Arabidopsis thaliana: one gene and its partner. The protein of the gene in region 2 interacts with the protein of the main gene of each other region in a pairwise test. Each region holds a gene or a part of one and is shown on either strand. Other genes may lie near its edges.

Evidence for each region.
Region 1: the proteins of AT2G05230 (region 2) and AT4G15700 interact in a two-hybrid assay, tested with the Arabidopsis thaliana proteins (one large-scale study listed by BioGRID).

Annotation. Positions count from the first base shown.
Region 1 is NC_003075.7:8,933,421-8,939,879, forward strand, and holds AT4G15700 (Thioredoxin superfamily protein), read left to right. Parts: upstream 1-3,937; 5' UTR 3,938-4,124; coding exon 4,125-4,433; 3' UTR 4,434-4,704; downstream 4,705-6,459. Other genes in the region: AT4G15690 (Thioredoxin superfamily protein), read left to right, coding at 1,024-1,332.
Region 2 is NC_003071.7:1,896,896-1,907,058, forward strand, and holds AT2G05230 (DNAJ heat shock N-terminal domain-containing protein), read right to left. Parts: upstream 5,931-10,163; 5' UTR 5,590-5,930; intron 5,143-5,589; 5' UTR 5,044-5,142; coding exon 2,923-5,043; 3' UTR 2,573-2,922; downstream 1-2,572.

The DNA of each region.
Region 1 (6,459 bases), on a different chromosome or scaffold from region 2:
TGAAATTTCGTGAGGATAAATATAGAAAAAAACGTTTTGCTTGAAAGTGGCCACGTAAAACACCATGCACATAAAGAGGAAAGAGATTATTCTGGAGATATTCCATGCGATCTCGAGTCTTCGCAAAGGAAGGAGATGCAGCTTTTAATCATGTGAAGGATATGTCAAAGGCCGGAATTTAATAAGAACTTTTGTAAGAGATATATACATCTTGTTTTTGCTTAGAAAAAGTTCTACTAAAAAGATGGTAATTCAATAACAAAGGTTATAATAGGTTATGACTCAAAAAAAAAAAAAAAAGGTTATGACTCGAATACTTTACATTCAAAAGTTAGAAGTAACTTTGAAATAACTAAGCATAGGCTCGAGTTACCACAAAATTTGGGAAAAATAACTATGCATATATAGGCTTGTCGAGTGCTGGGATGATCCTTTTTTTTTTTTTGGCTGGGATGATCCATAATCATTAAACAAAGTAAATATTGCATTGCTCATCATCCTCTTCCTTTATTATTTTTGTTTCAGAGATTTAGATTGAAGTTAAAGCCATAATGCTCCAGCAAGCTTATAGTATGCTCATCTAAGATTTATTAGTTACCCAATTAATTGAGAGTTACATTTTTTTTTAATTCTTTAGCTGCAAGATGCAAAGAGGCAAGAAGGATGAACCCTCCTTATTAGGCTCTAATTCTTTGAGATATTCCCACTATCTAAATTTTAATTTTGTGTGTATTTTTTATTTATTATTCGAGATATTTATTATGTCCTAAAGTTGATTCTCTTTGAAAAAGGCTACATTAGATTTAGACCCGTAATATGAAAGTTACGTACTTTAAAAAGCTATATATAAAGGACCCTTGGAGACCCTTCACTACATCAAACACAAACTCAAAATTATCTCTTATCTTCACCCAAAGATTATAAGCTCTCTACACTTTTTTGTAGTATAGTCTCTTATTTCAGTCAAAAGACACACATTTGCATCCTCCGTGAATCACTTTCTTCAGAAAATTTACAAAAACAATGGAGAACCTACAGAAGATGATCTCTGAGAAGTCGGTAGTAATTTTTAGCAAGAACTCATGCTGCATGTCTCATACAATTAAGACTCTCTTCTTAGACTTTGGCGTGAACCCGACTATCTATGAGCTCGACGAGATCAACATAGGAAGGGAGATAGAGCAAGCATTGGCTCAGCTCGGATGCAGCCCGACCGTTCCGGTGGTGTTCATTGGAGGGCAGCTTGTTGGTGGAGCCAATCAAGTCATGAGTCTCCATCTCAACCGCTCCCTTGTTCCTATGCTTAAACGTGCTGGAGCATTATGGCTTTAACTTCAAAATAAATGTAATTTCAAATATATAATGCAATTAAGTTACTATAATTAAAGTGAACAAAGAAAACATACACAAGAATGTATGTATGAGTTAATGCTATGTCTATCTAAGTTTTAAAAAGATAGATTATCCGGTTGCCTATTTTGTAAACACTGGTTCTATTATAATAAATTCAGCTACTCTTGGATTTCTCCTTTCCAATGTGCCCTCTATTTATATATTTCATGCATGCATAGATCTAAGATCACATGCGTCGACGTTATTGAAAATGTACGCATTTGCAAATAACTTTATTTCATGGTGTAAAGAGAAAGAACATATCTTATCATTATTTATTTTTCTTGTTTCCATTATTAATCGTGTTATTGTAAATAAAGCTTCTGTCTAATTTAATCGCAATTATTCAGATCGTTCTTATGGTGTTTAATCGATTCCTTCGTACAAATATATATTCAGAGACAACTTACTACTAAACATAATAGTTCGAATAACCAGATGTTTAACCTGTTAATTGATGGTTCGTTGAAAATCATATATATCAATTATAGAAAATAATACTATCTAATAAGAGATTTCCAGCATATACATATTTAAGTTTAGCTAAAGGCAGAAATATAAATACTTTCTTATATATGGTTTTATTGTTTTAATAGGTAATAGAATGTAAAGCCTTAATTATGGGAATTGGTTCATACGAGTAATTTCACATAATGGACTTAGAAAGATATCTAACTTTTTATAAAGAAAAATTCTTACACTAATAAGGGTTTGTTACAAGAAAAAAAAAGTTTATCTTAGGATTTAAATGTTAGGATCTGATGTTATTTACTTATTTAACTAGTTACAAGTAAAACTTTTGCTGCGGGCCTGCGGCTTTCGTAAATTAGTGATATGATCATATGAATGAAGCAGATCTGTGTCATCTGTCTATCTTTTTTTTTTTTAAACAATCTATCTTTAATTAAAGAAAATTTTGAATAGATGTAAACTAAATATTAAATTCTTCTCTATCCATTTAAGAAAGTTGTGGGCGTTATTGTTCAACATCATGGTAGAAAATGACGCTACTAACCATTAAAACAACAAAGTGTGTAAAGAATTGGATTCTACCATAAGAGGAACACGTTGCATTGTTACATATATTCCATGCTCTAGGACGGTACGGGCAAGTTGCAGAATAAGATGTGATTTGGCATATTACATAATGTATGTGTCGGTACATGAATCACGTACACTGAAAATGATGATAACCTTGTATTGTGATGTAACAATAAGTGACTCTTGAGATCGAAATGGGCCACCATTAATACTATTTTGAAGAGAAAAACAAAAAAAAAACTAATATTTTACATTTTTTGTATATTTTTGGTTTTAGGATATATATATACGTGGTTGCTTCACTATCATACTATCATATCCATCTTGTTGGGCACGAGCTTGAATTTCTAGCAATCTTATTCATCGAATAGGGAATAAAGTTCAATTTTGTTTTATTCTTTGACATTGCAAGATTCGATTTCATGCATGACGGTAAGGCTAAAACGGAACCACAAAGTTTGCCTTTTTCTCTCAAGTGGTTATAAAAAAACAATTCTTGAGATATTATCTCATACTCTCTCGAGTTTTCTCAAACACTGAAGCTTGCAACTCTTTTTGGCGTATCTAAAACTATGTCCAAGGCGTATCTAAAACTATGTCCAAGCTATCCAATGATTTTTACCCGATTTTCAGCAGAACACATACACTATGAAATACTATAAAGTATGATTGAAAGCATATTAGATATCGAAATATTTTTCCATATATCATGTACACATAACCGTTACAAAAAATAATTGCTATATTATTAATAATTTCTTATTAGACTCAAAAATACTGTAAGAAATATTTCAATTAATTTTGAATACTATATTAGTATAGTACACGAAATCCGATAATTTCAATTAACGACGACTTCACGATAACATGAAATCTTTTCGTATATAGGCGTCAAGACATTTATATGTCGATAATGTGTTGGATATTTTTGACGCATTCCTGACGACATATTTAGATTGAAAGTAACATTCTCAAAACCAAAAATTATTATCACAAGCCTAAATGAGCCAAAATGAAATCCGGAGTAAACACTATTAGCAATTTTCAACTTTATTTGAAACTAAAAACATATTTCGGAATTTTGAAATTTTATAAGTCAAACGAGTTTAGCAGAGATAAAACTCATTTCTGCTTTTTATCAGTGGTTTTCACAATGAAGGCCGTACTAATGAAACATGACATTATTCGTCCGTATCAATTATTCCTCATATATATCAAAGAGAGATTTTGTTTTCTGTACGTTTTACCAAATTAGTTGATAGTTTTATTCTTTAGCTGCAAGAGGGAAAAAGACTCAAAGAGTCAAGACGTGTGAACCGATAATATCCTCAGATTCTTTCGGAATACTTCGACTATCTTAATTTTCATCATTTAAAATTGTGTTCTTTTATTTCTTTACTTACAATTTGAGATATTTCATATTTGTGCTAAAGTTGATTCTCGTAGAAAAAGGCAACGTAATAAGAAAGGTTACGTACTTTAGAAAGCTATATATAAAGGACCTTACCCACTTCACTCCATCAAACACAAAAACACAGAGTCACTTCTCATTTTCACCCAAATATATCAATAATCTCTCTATAAGTTATCTAGTTTTCCCATATTCATCTCTAATCTAGCATTTTGACCAAACACACCTATTTTTCTCCTTTGCAAGACAGTTTTCAAATATCTATCACGTTATATTACTAATGGAGAATCTACAAAAGATGATCTCCGAGAAGTCGGTAGTGATCTTTAGCAAGAACTCTTGCTGCATGTCTCACACAATCAAGACTCTCTTCTTAGACCTTGGCGTGAACCCGACGATCTATGAACTCGATGAGATTAGCAGAGGAAAGGAGATAGAGCATGCATTGGCTCAGCTCGGGTGCAGCCCGACAGTGCCAGTGGTGTTCATAGGAGGGCAGCTTGTTGGTGGAGCCAATCAAGTCATGAGTCTCCATCTCAACCGCTCCCTTGTTCCAATGCTTAAGCGCGCTGGAGCTTTATGGCTTTGACTTCAAAATAAATGGAATTGCAAATGACTTAGGTTCTGAGAAACTTATTAATGTGAACAAAAAAAGGTAAAAAAAACATATACAAAAATGTATGTATGAGTTTATTACTATATATGTCTATCTATCTAAGTTTTCAAAAGATAGATTATGCGGTTACCTATTTTGTAAACATGCATCTAAGAGATATTTATATTTTATAATAAAAATCAGCAACATTTGGATTTCTCCTTTTTCCCAATTCATATTTATATAATTTTGTATACATATATGCATCTAGAAATGAATACACGTGCACTGAATATAGATGATTTTTTATGGTGTAAAGGAAAAAAGAAAGAATATATAACTATTTATGCAGAACATGCGCCAAGACATAATAATTAATTTAAAAATTTGAAGAAGGCATATTTTATAGGCTAAGAATATTGTATTTGTATCTGCCACAAATTAAAAAGCGATGACGAGTCTGAATCGTGTGTAATGTCAAGCCTTAACTTTTCAAACGAAATTCTTACAATGATATGCAACTGTTAATAAATGTTAGGCGTGATTGTCAACTGAATTAGCTAGTTACAACTTACAAGTGTAAAAATACAGGAGATTGCGTAAATTTGAGATATGGATCTTAGAACAACTCTATAATCAATTAAAGAAATTTAGAATTAAGGTAAATCAATCATTAAATTCTTCACTGTCTATCTACAGAAACATTGTTGAACATCATGATAAAAAATGACGTTTCTAACCATTAAAATAACAAAGTGTGTAAGGAATTGGATTCTGCCATATAAGGAAAATCTTTGCATTGTTACATATATTCCAATAATAGGACAGTACGAGCCAGTTGCGGAACTTGATGCGAATAGGCATCTTACATACATATAATGTGTCGGTACGTGAATCACGTAATGTTCAAATGATGATAACCTTGTATTGTGATATAAGAATAACGGCTCTTGAGATCAAAATTGGGCCACCAATAATCTTTTAGGAAGGAAGGAATGCAAAACTATGGCTTTAAAATTTTGTTGAGCCCCACGTGGCTGCTTCACTAATCAATCTTCTTGGCCACAAGCTTGAGATTTCAGAATTTCGTGGAATTGAGGATAAAGCTCTCTTTGATTCTTGATTCTTAACATTGTAAGATTCGATTTCATTCATGACGATAAGGCTAGAACGGAACCACATAGTTTTCCTTTCCCTCTCAAGTGGTCATACAAGAATATTATAATTCTTGAGATGCATTATATCTTGCGATTTCGAGTTTTCGCAAATTAAAGAATGAGAGGAGCTAGAAACTTTTTATGGCATATCTAAAACTATGTCAAAGGGACATGACATACATATGAAATTCTATTTCTTTATAGTATATACATATGAAATAAAAAGTTTTCATGATATTACGTATCCCATTTATGAGATATGGAAGTTAATCAAGAATTGGTTACTTCTCATCTCAGGTTTTCTTGTTAAGTCTTTTCTTTTTGTTCTCGATTCCTTGTCTTATCTCATGTAACCTTAATCCTTCACTCAAGTTATAAGGTGACTTAGATGACCAAAGACATGTGATTTACATAACTGAATTGTCTTTTGTTAATGTTCTATAGTAACTAGTTTTATTACAAATAGCACATTGTTTGTCAACACATGGAATTTACCACCCCGAGTCTTTAGAACAATATGGAAACTGCAAATTCATGCGGTTCTTATTGTGGGCTTCGACGATGTGGACAAATTCAAAAACTATTATTGTTTGCTCGATCATTCATGTAAACCAGGTGACAAGCTGACCTAATTCTATCATTTTTAGTTATATGGCTAACATATATAAACTTGGACTTTTTAGGACATGAGTTGGGAGATGTAGAATCCTGGTATTTACTTTAACTCAGTATTTATGATGATGGTTTTTCTAATTTCAGTTTGAGTTAAATTTTTATTTCGGTTGATGCGGCTTCAAGACACGGAGAAGTCTATGAGAGACAAGACATATCTTCAATTTTCTTTAATTTAATAAAGTGTTATT
Region 2 (10,163 bases):
AATGATATTTAGATTTAGTACTTGTATTTATTTTATTTATGCAATGCAATGTGGATATCTCAAGAATGTATATTAATTTGGACAGCAGGTAATTAAAATAACAATTATGAAATTCTAATGATGTATCATAAAATTGAAATTGAAATTAGTAAATGTGTTTGTCACAAATTTCTAAAAACAATATATGTTTGTAACATTAATAATTTTGTTAGAAACTTGGTAATTAACAAAGCCCATTACATTTACCTCTTTTGTTTAAAGCATACTGTTATTGAAGCCCAAATCTAAAACCGAAGCCCACTTAATTTTTTCCAGCCCAAACACTATTAACAGTTTTTACTGTTACCAACGTTGAGAAAAAAAACAAATTTGGATTCAGTTTTTTTTTTTTTGTCAATCACATTCCGATTCAATCTGAACCCAGCTTCTTCACAACACCATATCACTGATCGATTGACAATTATTTGCGATCAGGGTTTTGATTCAGTTTTTGTCCACTTCTCAATAGATGATGCTATAAATTGATGAAAGATTAGAACATCATATATTTATTGTTTTAATTCTGTTATTTAGCAATGACATATAAAGAGAGAAAATATTTTATGAAATTAAAGCCATTAAAAACATTATCGAGACATATCCGAAGGAAGTAGTATTGAATCAAGTATCTAGAACTAAACATTCTAGAGTAAACAAAATTTCTGAAGAGAGTAGTCACTGAATCAAGTATCTAATTTACTTCTTGTATAGTACATTAATAAGTGTATCTTGTTCTTTGCTAAAGGAACTCACTTACATTTCCAACAGTATAAATAGTATAGGCAAAACATCCAGTTATATATGTTAAAACAAGGAAACCAAACCCAACAAGTTTATAATCTGAAACATCCACACAAGCGTAATGAGTCGATGGTATAATAGAGACATCAATTGTTTGCAAAGCCAGAGGTCGAAACGTATAACCTGGGCATATAAGGGCATACAAAACAATTTCAAATTGTCATTTATCACAGGAAAGCCTGAGATTCAGAGCTAAAGAGAAGGGGAAAAAAAAAAAAAAACCACCTAATAAAAGAGAGATGACAAGCACACAACATGAGACATTCCTCAAAAAAAGTTATGATCCCACAATAGTCTATACTCCACATCATGTCCTGTATTTAACAATCACAAAACCTCAAACTAATCTAGAACTTGAATTCTCAATTGCAACTAGGCCTGGGCAAAATACCCGAACCTGAAGAATCAAACCAAACCCGACCCAAAAAATCCGATTCGAATCCGAACCCAAAATTTTAAAATACCCGAATGGATCCTAAACTTCAAAACCCAAAAACCAGATCCGAACCTGAACCCGATCAAGTACCCGAACATATCCAAAATATATATATAACAAATAATTTATCAATAATAATCATATCTACAAGTCTACAACAACTTAAATGCCTAAAATATTTGGATTTTAAGTTATTTTGTATATTTTTAGGTATTTTACCTACTTTTAGATAAATTCGGATAGAAAATAATCAAGTTTTTATAAATTTTTGAATAGTTTCAAGTAATTTTAACCTATTTTGATATAAAAGTTTTGAGTTTTGGATACTCCTGATAAACCCGAATCCGAACCCAAAAAACCCGATCCGAACCCGAAGTCTTAAAATACCCGAACGGGTCTTAGATTTCTAAATCCGAAAAACCCGACCCGAATATCTGAACGCCCAAACCTAATTGCAACTTTCACATATTTTAGAAACTAAAGCAGATATCATAGCCATTGTCATCACATTGCCTCAACAAATTTGTTTTGCCAAATTTTGGATAGTAACTCAAAGATTATCGCACTCAAGAGTTTAAGAAAACTTCCCCAAAGTGATCTTCCTTACAAACACATAATCACGATACAAATAGATCTAACCATCAAGCAGAAGACCAAAAACAACAGAATCAACAAGCAAACCAAGACCATGAAAGTATAAATTGATTAAACTCAGAGAAACAATTAACCAAAAGAAACTCATGTTAAGAATGTTGGATGTGGCTTACTTAAGTATGGTAGTTGTGTTGTTTAGTTCATGAAGACCTTGTAACCAAAAGAACAACTTCATGATATTAACCAAATCCAAAGACTGAACACAAAAATATCTTCCTCTAGACCTTGGACTAAAGAGTTAGTAGAAGCAGCAGGTAATATACACATTTTCATTGTGGAACAACTATACCTTGTTCAAAGTTTTAAAATGGTTTCGACCCGTGGAATGTTTCACTAACTTGAAAATTCAATTACTAAATAAAAGGGAAAAAACCAAAAAAAAACCTCAACTAAATTTTATTTGGACGTTTAAGACCCAATTGTTTTTTGTTGGAAGGTAAATACACGAAGTAATAAAACCGTGCAATTTAATACACAAACAATTAATTATTGCTATTTTAATACTCACGATCTCATAACAAAAATAAAATTCCAAATTTACCCTTACCATCTCAATTAACTATTATTTTTTTAATAATATAATTTTAATTTTATAATTTTGAATAAAAATTAATTTTATTAACATTTTAGTTAATGGTTTCACTAACTTGTAAATTCAATTACTAAATAAAAGGCAGCAAGAAATGGAAAGATAATTGCTACATTTATAACTCTACTTGTAAAAATTCTGTCATCACTAAGGTCAACAAAGAAACGAATACATAATCGAAAAAGAAAAAGAAAAGAAGAAACAGAGTAAACAAAAGTCAAACTATGCTTTGCTTACTCGTTGAACATTTGCCTAATACAACAGCTTCACTGAACCAAACAGTATGGTTTTTGCGTGTTAATAGTCCTTCATAAAACTCCACAATCTTCGCTGATACAACAACTCTTACACTTGGTCTCAATCTGAAAAGTGAAACCATCTTTCTCTTACAGGGTCACTGAAATCAATTGGTTCCTGCTCCGATGTGAAGCAGCTCCTCGGGGATTGCAGCTGGATCTAAGTCCCAACAGTTTTCGGGAAAGCCGCTGGTTGCATCTTTAAGAAACCAAGACGGCACTTGATGTGAAAACCGCAACATTTCACACCTTGGTATCCACTTCTTACTGTCCTCCCTTGTGCTCCTGTGATACACGGTTTTGTAGCCCTCTAATTTAACAAGAGGGGTAACGCACACACCATACTGTTCAGTATACTCATCAAGAATCTCGACCATTTCATATTGGTGCCTCACTTCGTCCGGTGTTGATCCGTCCCAGTTCAGTGACCAGTTCTTGTAGACGGCCCAAATCTCCCCAGCTGTGGGGAAGATTCGAACACAACCACCTCTCCCTGTCTTCTTGCCTTTTAAAAGATGCGAAAAGATGTTAACATGGTCTACTATGTCAGAGTTTCGTATCCTGAAATGTCCACACGACTTTGTAAACCCATATTGTACCCATTTCATTGACCCAAACTCGATGTCGGTTTTAGAGCTTAAGTAGGCAATGTCAATCTTAAAGGGTTGAACTGAGAGTACTTCCCTCACCACACAATATAGGCGTGGCATACCATCATCTTCATCATAAATTGCCCATATTTGCCTTGGCTCAAAGGATTCCTCCGATCTGTTTTTATCAAAGTCATGGAAATCAGAGTCTGGAACTGTTATTGGCCCGTTAGTTTTGCGCCCTGTAACATCTCCCAACTTACAGGAGAGAACAGTTTTTTCATCAAGGGGTGTTGCATCCTCTGCAGCCGCTGCTGCCTCTAAAGCCAATCTCATCATCTCCAATCTTTGCTTGATATCTGTTCTGGCCTTTTGAATTAAGGGCTTCCGTGTATCCAATACTGATGCAGCAGACCAACGTCTAGTTGAACTTTGGATATGAAGTTTGTAATCCTGATCCATTTTGGCATCTGTATTCGCTGTCTTTGATACTGAAACAGATCTCAGAGGGTTCTCAACAAATCCATTAGCAGCAGCTTCCATAAAAACTTTGCTTTTCTTCCCAGGTCTGCCGACCTTATTTGCACTCGCGTGAGCAGACATGCTGATCTGATTAGGATATATCAGACCACCTGGTGTGCTTTTCTTCGAGCATGTCCCATTAGAACCATCTTTGACTTTATTTATTCCCCCGCTGACTACTGAGTTGCTGTGCTTATAAGGATACCCATTAGACACTGAGGACACACGCTTCAAATCCAGATTCCCTGGGGAGGTTGTTGTTCCAGAGTACGAGCTCCATTCATATGAACCATTCGTACTATAATCATATCCATGTCCTTGCCCAGGATAGTGGCCTAAGAAATACGTGGAATTGGTGGGCATGCGTGACATAGCATCATAACCATGTGCACCATAGCCATTACTCGGAGGCGCATGAGATGGAGGCGCATGAGAGGGAGGCGCATGGGATGGAGGCGTGTAATGAAATGGTGCACTAACAGGAGCTGGACCAGTTTCTACAGCAATAAATGCTCCACGACAGTTCTTACATGAAAGCCTCTTATTCACATACTTCCTCAGATACTCATACTGAACTTTGCAAGAGGTGCATACAGTCCAGAAAGTATCAAGCCTTTCTGAAGATGGTGGAAACCGATCAAATACTGCAGTCCCCGTCCCAGTCCCAGTCCCAGGCATGTACTCTGTGCTATGCTTCTGAACCTCAGTGGAGTCAATATGCTTCTTTCTTTTGTAATAAAAAGTGCTTTTATTAAACTCATTAGACAAGAAACTCCAAGCTTCAGATATGAGATGAAATGCACCATCAGCTCCAATGCATTTGTTCTTATCAGGATGAAGCAATACAGCCATCTTCTTATACTGTTTCTTCACTTCTCTTTTCCCCGCAGACGGTTTCAGTCCAAGTACCGCGTAATAATCAATCTGACCACCGCTTCGAGTCTGAGAAGCTAAATAAACTTCAAACGTCGCAACCATCTGAGATAAACCTTCCAAATCAGGAAACAAAGACTTCGCTTTCAACGCATAACTCCTAGCGCTTGTGAAATCTTTCTCCGCAAATCTCCTCTCAGCGATCTGTTTCACTCTGAGAGCTTCCTCTCTGTAAGCTTCCATGTAGAAAGAAACCAACACAATATATGACAGCTCTACAAAAGGAAACTAACACCGTTCCCGCAAGCATTCCATATTCAAGCACCAAAAGATCATCATTATCTGCAAACAAACATTCACAAGAACAACATTAATTCTTTTTGAGTCACTACAAATGCAAACCAATACCTAACCAACCACACATACTCAAACAAACCCATACTTACTAACTTACAACAACCATCCTAAGATTCGAGATCTAGAATCTCCAAGTTCAGATTTTTTTTTGACAAAATCGCTAACTTTATATCACAAAGACATAGAGAATTATACAAAACTAGATTTAGATAGTCAAAAAGTAGCTTAATTTTATCTCCATTTTGAACAAATTTCACCAAAAAGTCAGATTCAAGCTATCAACTTCATAAGACAAAACCCAACTCAAAAGGATTAAACTTTAAATCCCAACTCAAAGTTTACTAATTTCTTCAATAAACAACAATGACAAAAACCAAAAACCTAAAATTTCAATAAATGAAATAAACTGAGAATCGAAGTTAGCGATCTTACTGATAAATTGGGGAAAATTACAAACACAGCTTCAAAAATAGATCTCTGAAACTTCTTCTTCCTCCAGAGATTGAGTAGATCAAATCGGAAGTAAACAAAAAGCACGAATCTTTAGGCAAAGATTTGGAATCAAGAACACAGCTTTAATAACTACAGTAACTTTAGGGTTTTAGGGTTTCAGTGAATTCAGGTAATCGGCGATTCAGGCATCGAGAATGAATCGCCGGAAAACACCGTCGAGAATTTCGGGGAAAAAAAAAATGGAAGCTAAAATAAAAATTTGTTTTTTTTTTTGTTAAGTAAAATAATTTTGGAGTGAAAGTAAACGGTGCTAATTTGTTAATAGTGGTTATCTCGACTCTGATATATGCCATAATAATTTTATTATATAAAGTATGGTTTTAAAAATTACTAACTCATAAGATTATGTCATGTGTCAAGTCTATCGATCGGATGTTGACACATATAAAAAAATAATTAACTTTTTTCTTTTTAAAGAAATAGAAATACTAAAAAAGAAATCAATTAAATTTTTTCTTCTTAAAGAAATAGAAAACTAAAAAATAAATCATTATTAACATATACTAATTCATATATTTATATATATGTAAAATATATTACATTTTATTTTTCTTAACCAAAAGGAAAATTAACCAAAAATATTTATATATGTTATTGGTCAAAATTTTAATATGTATGGTATTAACAAATTTTTTATTATTATTAATTATGTTTTGTTAATTGTTAATAATTTTTAATATTAACTAAGATATAGATTTGATCTCATATATATATTATTTTGACATGAAATCATTATCAAGTAAGATGAAGTGTGTAGAATTAAAATCGAGTTTTTTATGAAATAGATAGTTAAATTGTATTACAAAATTGAATATGTAAGATAAAAATTTATTCTTTTCTTCTAAATACTAAATTATAATATAAAAAAAGTGTGTAGGTTACTATTTAGACTTCAAATATCATCAATAAGATTGAATGGGTATAATAAAATAAAATGCATAAGACTACTATTTTACTATTCAAAATTATATATCAAGAACAATGTATAGATTATTATTTTATTATTCAAAATTTAAATATTATAGATAAAAAATTACAGTTACATTTTACACCCGCCTATTTAGGCGGGCTTTATCTAGTATCATAATAATAATTTGTTAATAGTGTAATATATGAATATGGGTTAAAATAATAGTTTCATAAAGTTATAGAAAAATTCAACTTTAATAATTGTTAACAAAATAATAATATTTGTAAACACCATCCAGTTAACCTATGAGGTTATGACTCATGAAGATTCATTTAAGAATTTTCACACTTATTAAAAAAATTATTAATATTTGTTTTTTTCTATTTTCTAATAATTATACATTTCTCATTTTGTTCACAGTTCTAAATAATTATAAACTGATACTTTTTTTATGTCACTATCGTGTGATTGGATGTTGGAAAGTATGTAACAATTGCATAGTTGGGTTTTTTGCCAATGTAAATGTAAGTTGTTAGGGATCTAGTGGCACGCTTTGTGGCTGTGCCTATTCCAAAACTAACTGCTAGTCCAAACATCTTACTTTGGGAACGCAGTTAAGATGTCTTTTTAAACCTCATTTCTTCTTCTCCAAAATTTAAGAACAGATCAGAAAAAAATGTCTCGAGTAGAAAGAATTGTATAGTATTGTTTTGTTTAGCCGAAAGTGTTTTCGCTTGTCTTTACTCTTTGTACATATTTCTTGGATCAAAATTTTTTAACCCTACACTCTTTACCATAATATTCATAATAATTTCAGTTCTCTAGATTTTTGGCCAGTCAAATTAGCATTTCGAACTATAATCTATTACTTATGACGTGAATGCAATGGTCGAGACACTAGAAAGACCCGATATCAACCTAAAACATCGATAATGAAACACAATAGTTTCAAACTTTTGAGAAACATAAATCCATGAAGTAAATCAAAGGTTGCTAGAGTAGTCGTTAAACTTGCTTCTATAACATTGATTTCATTGCTCATGTCAGTGTCTTTCATATCTGGAAACAGAGAAACAATTTGTTTACTCTCACTTGATTTGAATGCAATGGTCGAAACACCATAAACACCATAAACACAATAGTTTTAAATTTTTGAAAAACATAAGTCCATGGACTAAATCAAAAGTTGTTAGAGTAGTCGTTAAACTTGCTTCTATAACATTTTATTTCATTATGCCATAAACATCAAACCATTTACACCTAACATCTCTCATATAATTTTAATAAGAAAATGTCATAAAAATATATAATTTACTTCTTTTTGACTAAAAAAACTTTAACTATTCCATTAGATAAAATAAATTTCCAATTTTATGTTGATTAAGTCATTTTATTTTCCTTTTAAAGCAATAATAACGAGTTAAAATTATTGACTAACAACGGAGATAAAATAGTAAGTTCAATATAAAATTGAAAATTTTTTTATCTAATAAAATAGTTTGAAAGCTTTTTCGTTAAATAAGTTTGGAATTGTTTTTAAAATTCTTTATTTTTTCTTTTTTTGAACAAAATTCTTTTCTTTTTCAAAACAACCCAAACACAGCATAAAATGCTACGCGCTTGCCGACAAAAAAAAGCAAAGAAACGCTTTTACGAAACATGTCAAGTCTAATTAGTCTAATAATTGTATGTTGTTCTTTGCTAAAGGAACTCACTTACATTTCCAACAGTATAAATAGTATAGGCAAAACATCCAGTTATATATGTTAAAACAAGGAAACCAAACCCAACAAGTTTATAATCTGAAACATCCACAAGCGTAATGAGTCTATGGTATAATAGAGACATCAATTGTTTGCGAAGCCAGAGGTCGAAACGTATAACCTGGGCATATAAGGGCATACAAAACAATTTCAAATTGCCATTTATCACAGGAAAGCCTGAGATTCAGAGCTAAAGAGAAGGGGAAAAAAAAAAAAAAAACACCTAATAAAAGAGAGATGACAAGCACACAACATGAGACATTCCTCAAAAAAAGTTATGATCCCACAATAGTCTATACTCCACATCATGTCCTGTATTTAACAATCACAAAACCTCAAACTAATCTAGAACTTGAATTCTCAATTGCAACTAGGCCTGGGCAAAATACCCGAACCTGAAAAATCAAACCAAACCCGACCCAAAAAATCCGATTCGAATCCGAACCCGAAATTTTAAAATACCCGAATGGATCTTAAACTTCAAAACCCGAAAACCCGATCCGTACCTGAACCCCATCAAGTACCCGAATATATCCGAAATATATATATATATATATATATATATATATACAAATAATTTATCAATAATAATCATATATACAACAACTTAAATGCCTAAAATATTTGGATTTTAAGTTATTTTGTATATTTTTAGGTATTTTACCTACTTTTAGATAAATTCAGATAGAAAATAATCAAGTTTTTTTATAAATTTTTGTGTAGTTTCAAGTAATTTTAACATATTTTGATATAAAAGTTTTGAGTTTTGGATACTGCGGATAAACCCGAATCCGAACCCGAAGTCTTAAAATACCCAAACGGATCTTAGATTTCTAAATCCGAAATACCCAAATCCAAAATACCCGACCCAAACCCGACCTGAATATCCGAACGCCCAGACCTAATTGCAACTTTCACATATTTTAGAAACTAAAGCAGACATCATAGCCATTGTCATCACATTGCCTCAACAAATTTCTTTTGCCAAATTTTGGATAGTAACTCGGAATCATTGACTACTAGTATTAGACCCGTACGGAGAAAAATAACTTTAAAGACGAAGATGTAAGAGATTAAACATGAACTATTAACACAAAGTCACTACCTAGAGCCATATACAAATGGATCATCTTCAAATTCTTTTGTTGTTGTCAGTTTATCTTTCAGTATGTCGTCTTTGTTATGAAGCCATCTCCATGGAAACTCCATATACTTGATAGCATCGTCTTTTCAGTGACATTTAGTGCTTAAACGTTTGAATAACGTTTTTGAATTATTTGTCTCCCTTTTGTCGTAATTGTTGTAGCCCGTAGTCACCTACCTTCAAAAGAGAAACATGTATAGACGGATAATAGAGATGGATTAAAGAAATGAGAGATAGTATACAAAAGTCAGCTATATTTTTTAAATCCTTACACAAATATTGAATGCAAAACAGTGTAATGCAAAATCATAATCAAGTAATTTGTTACAAAACATTATAGTAGAAAAAAAAGTTTGCACTTGAGTAACCCGATTTTAAAGATACATAAGTCACGTACTTCGTAAGTAATTTGTAAACTACTCACATTATAAACATTTATCTTTCAGTTAGTGAATCCAAGAAGACTGAATCATAACCAAACTGTTACAATCCGATAACTTAAAGATCGATTCAACACAACTCGATTCAATCACAACACAACTCGATCAAGCTTCAATTCGCGGAACACTTAATAGATCGATCAAGAACATAATCAAACAAAGAACGAAACGAACACACGATTGTTTACCCAGTTCAGATCACCGGTGTGATGATCCTACGTCTGGGGCTGGATTCA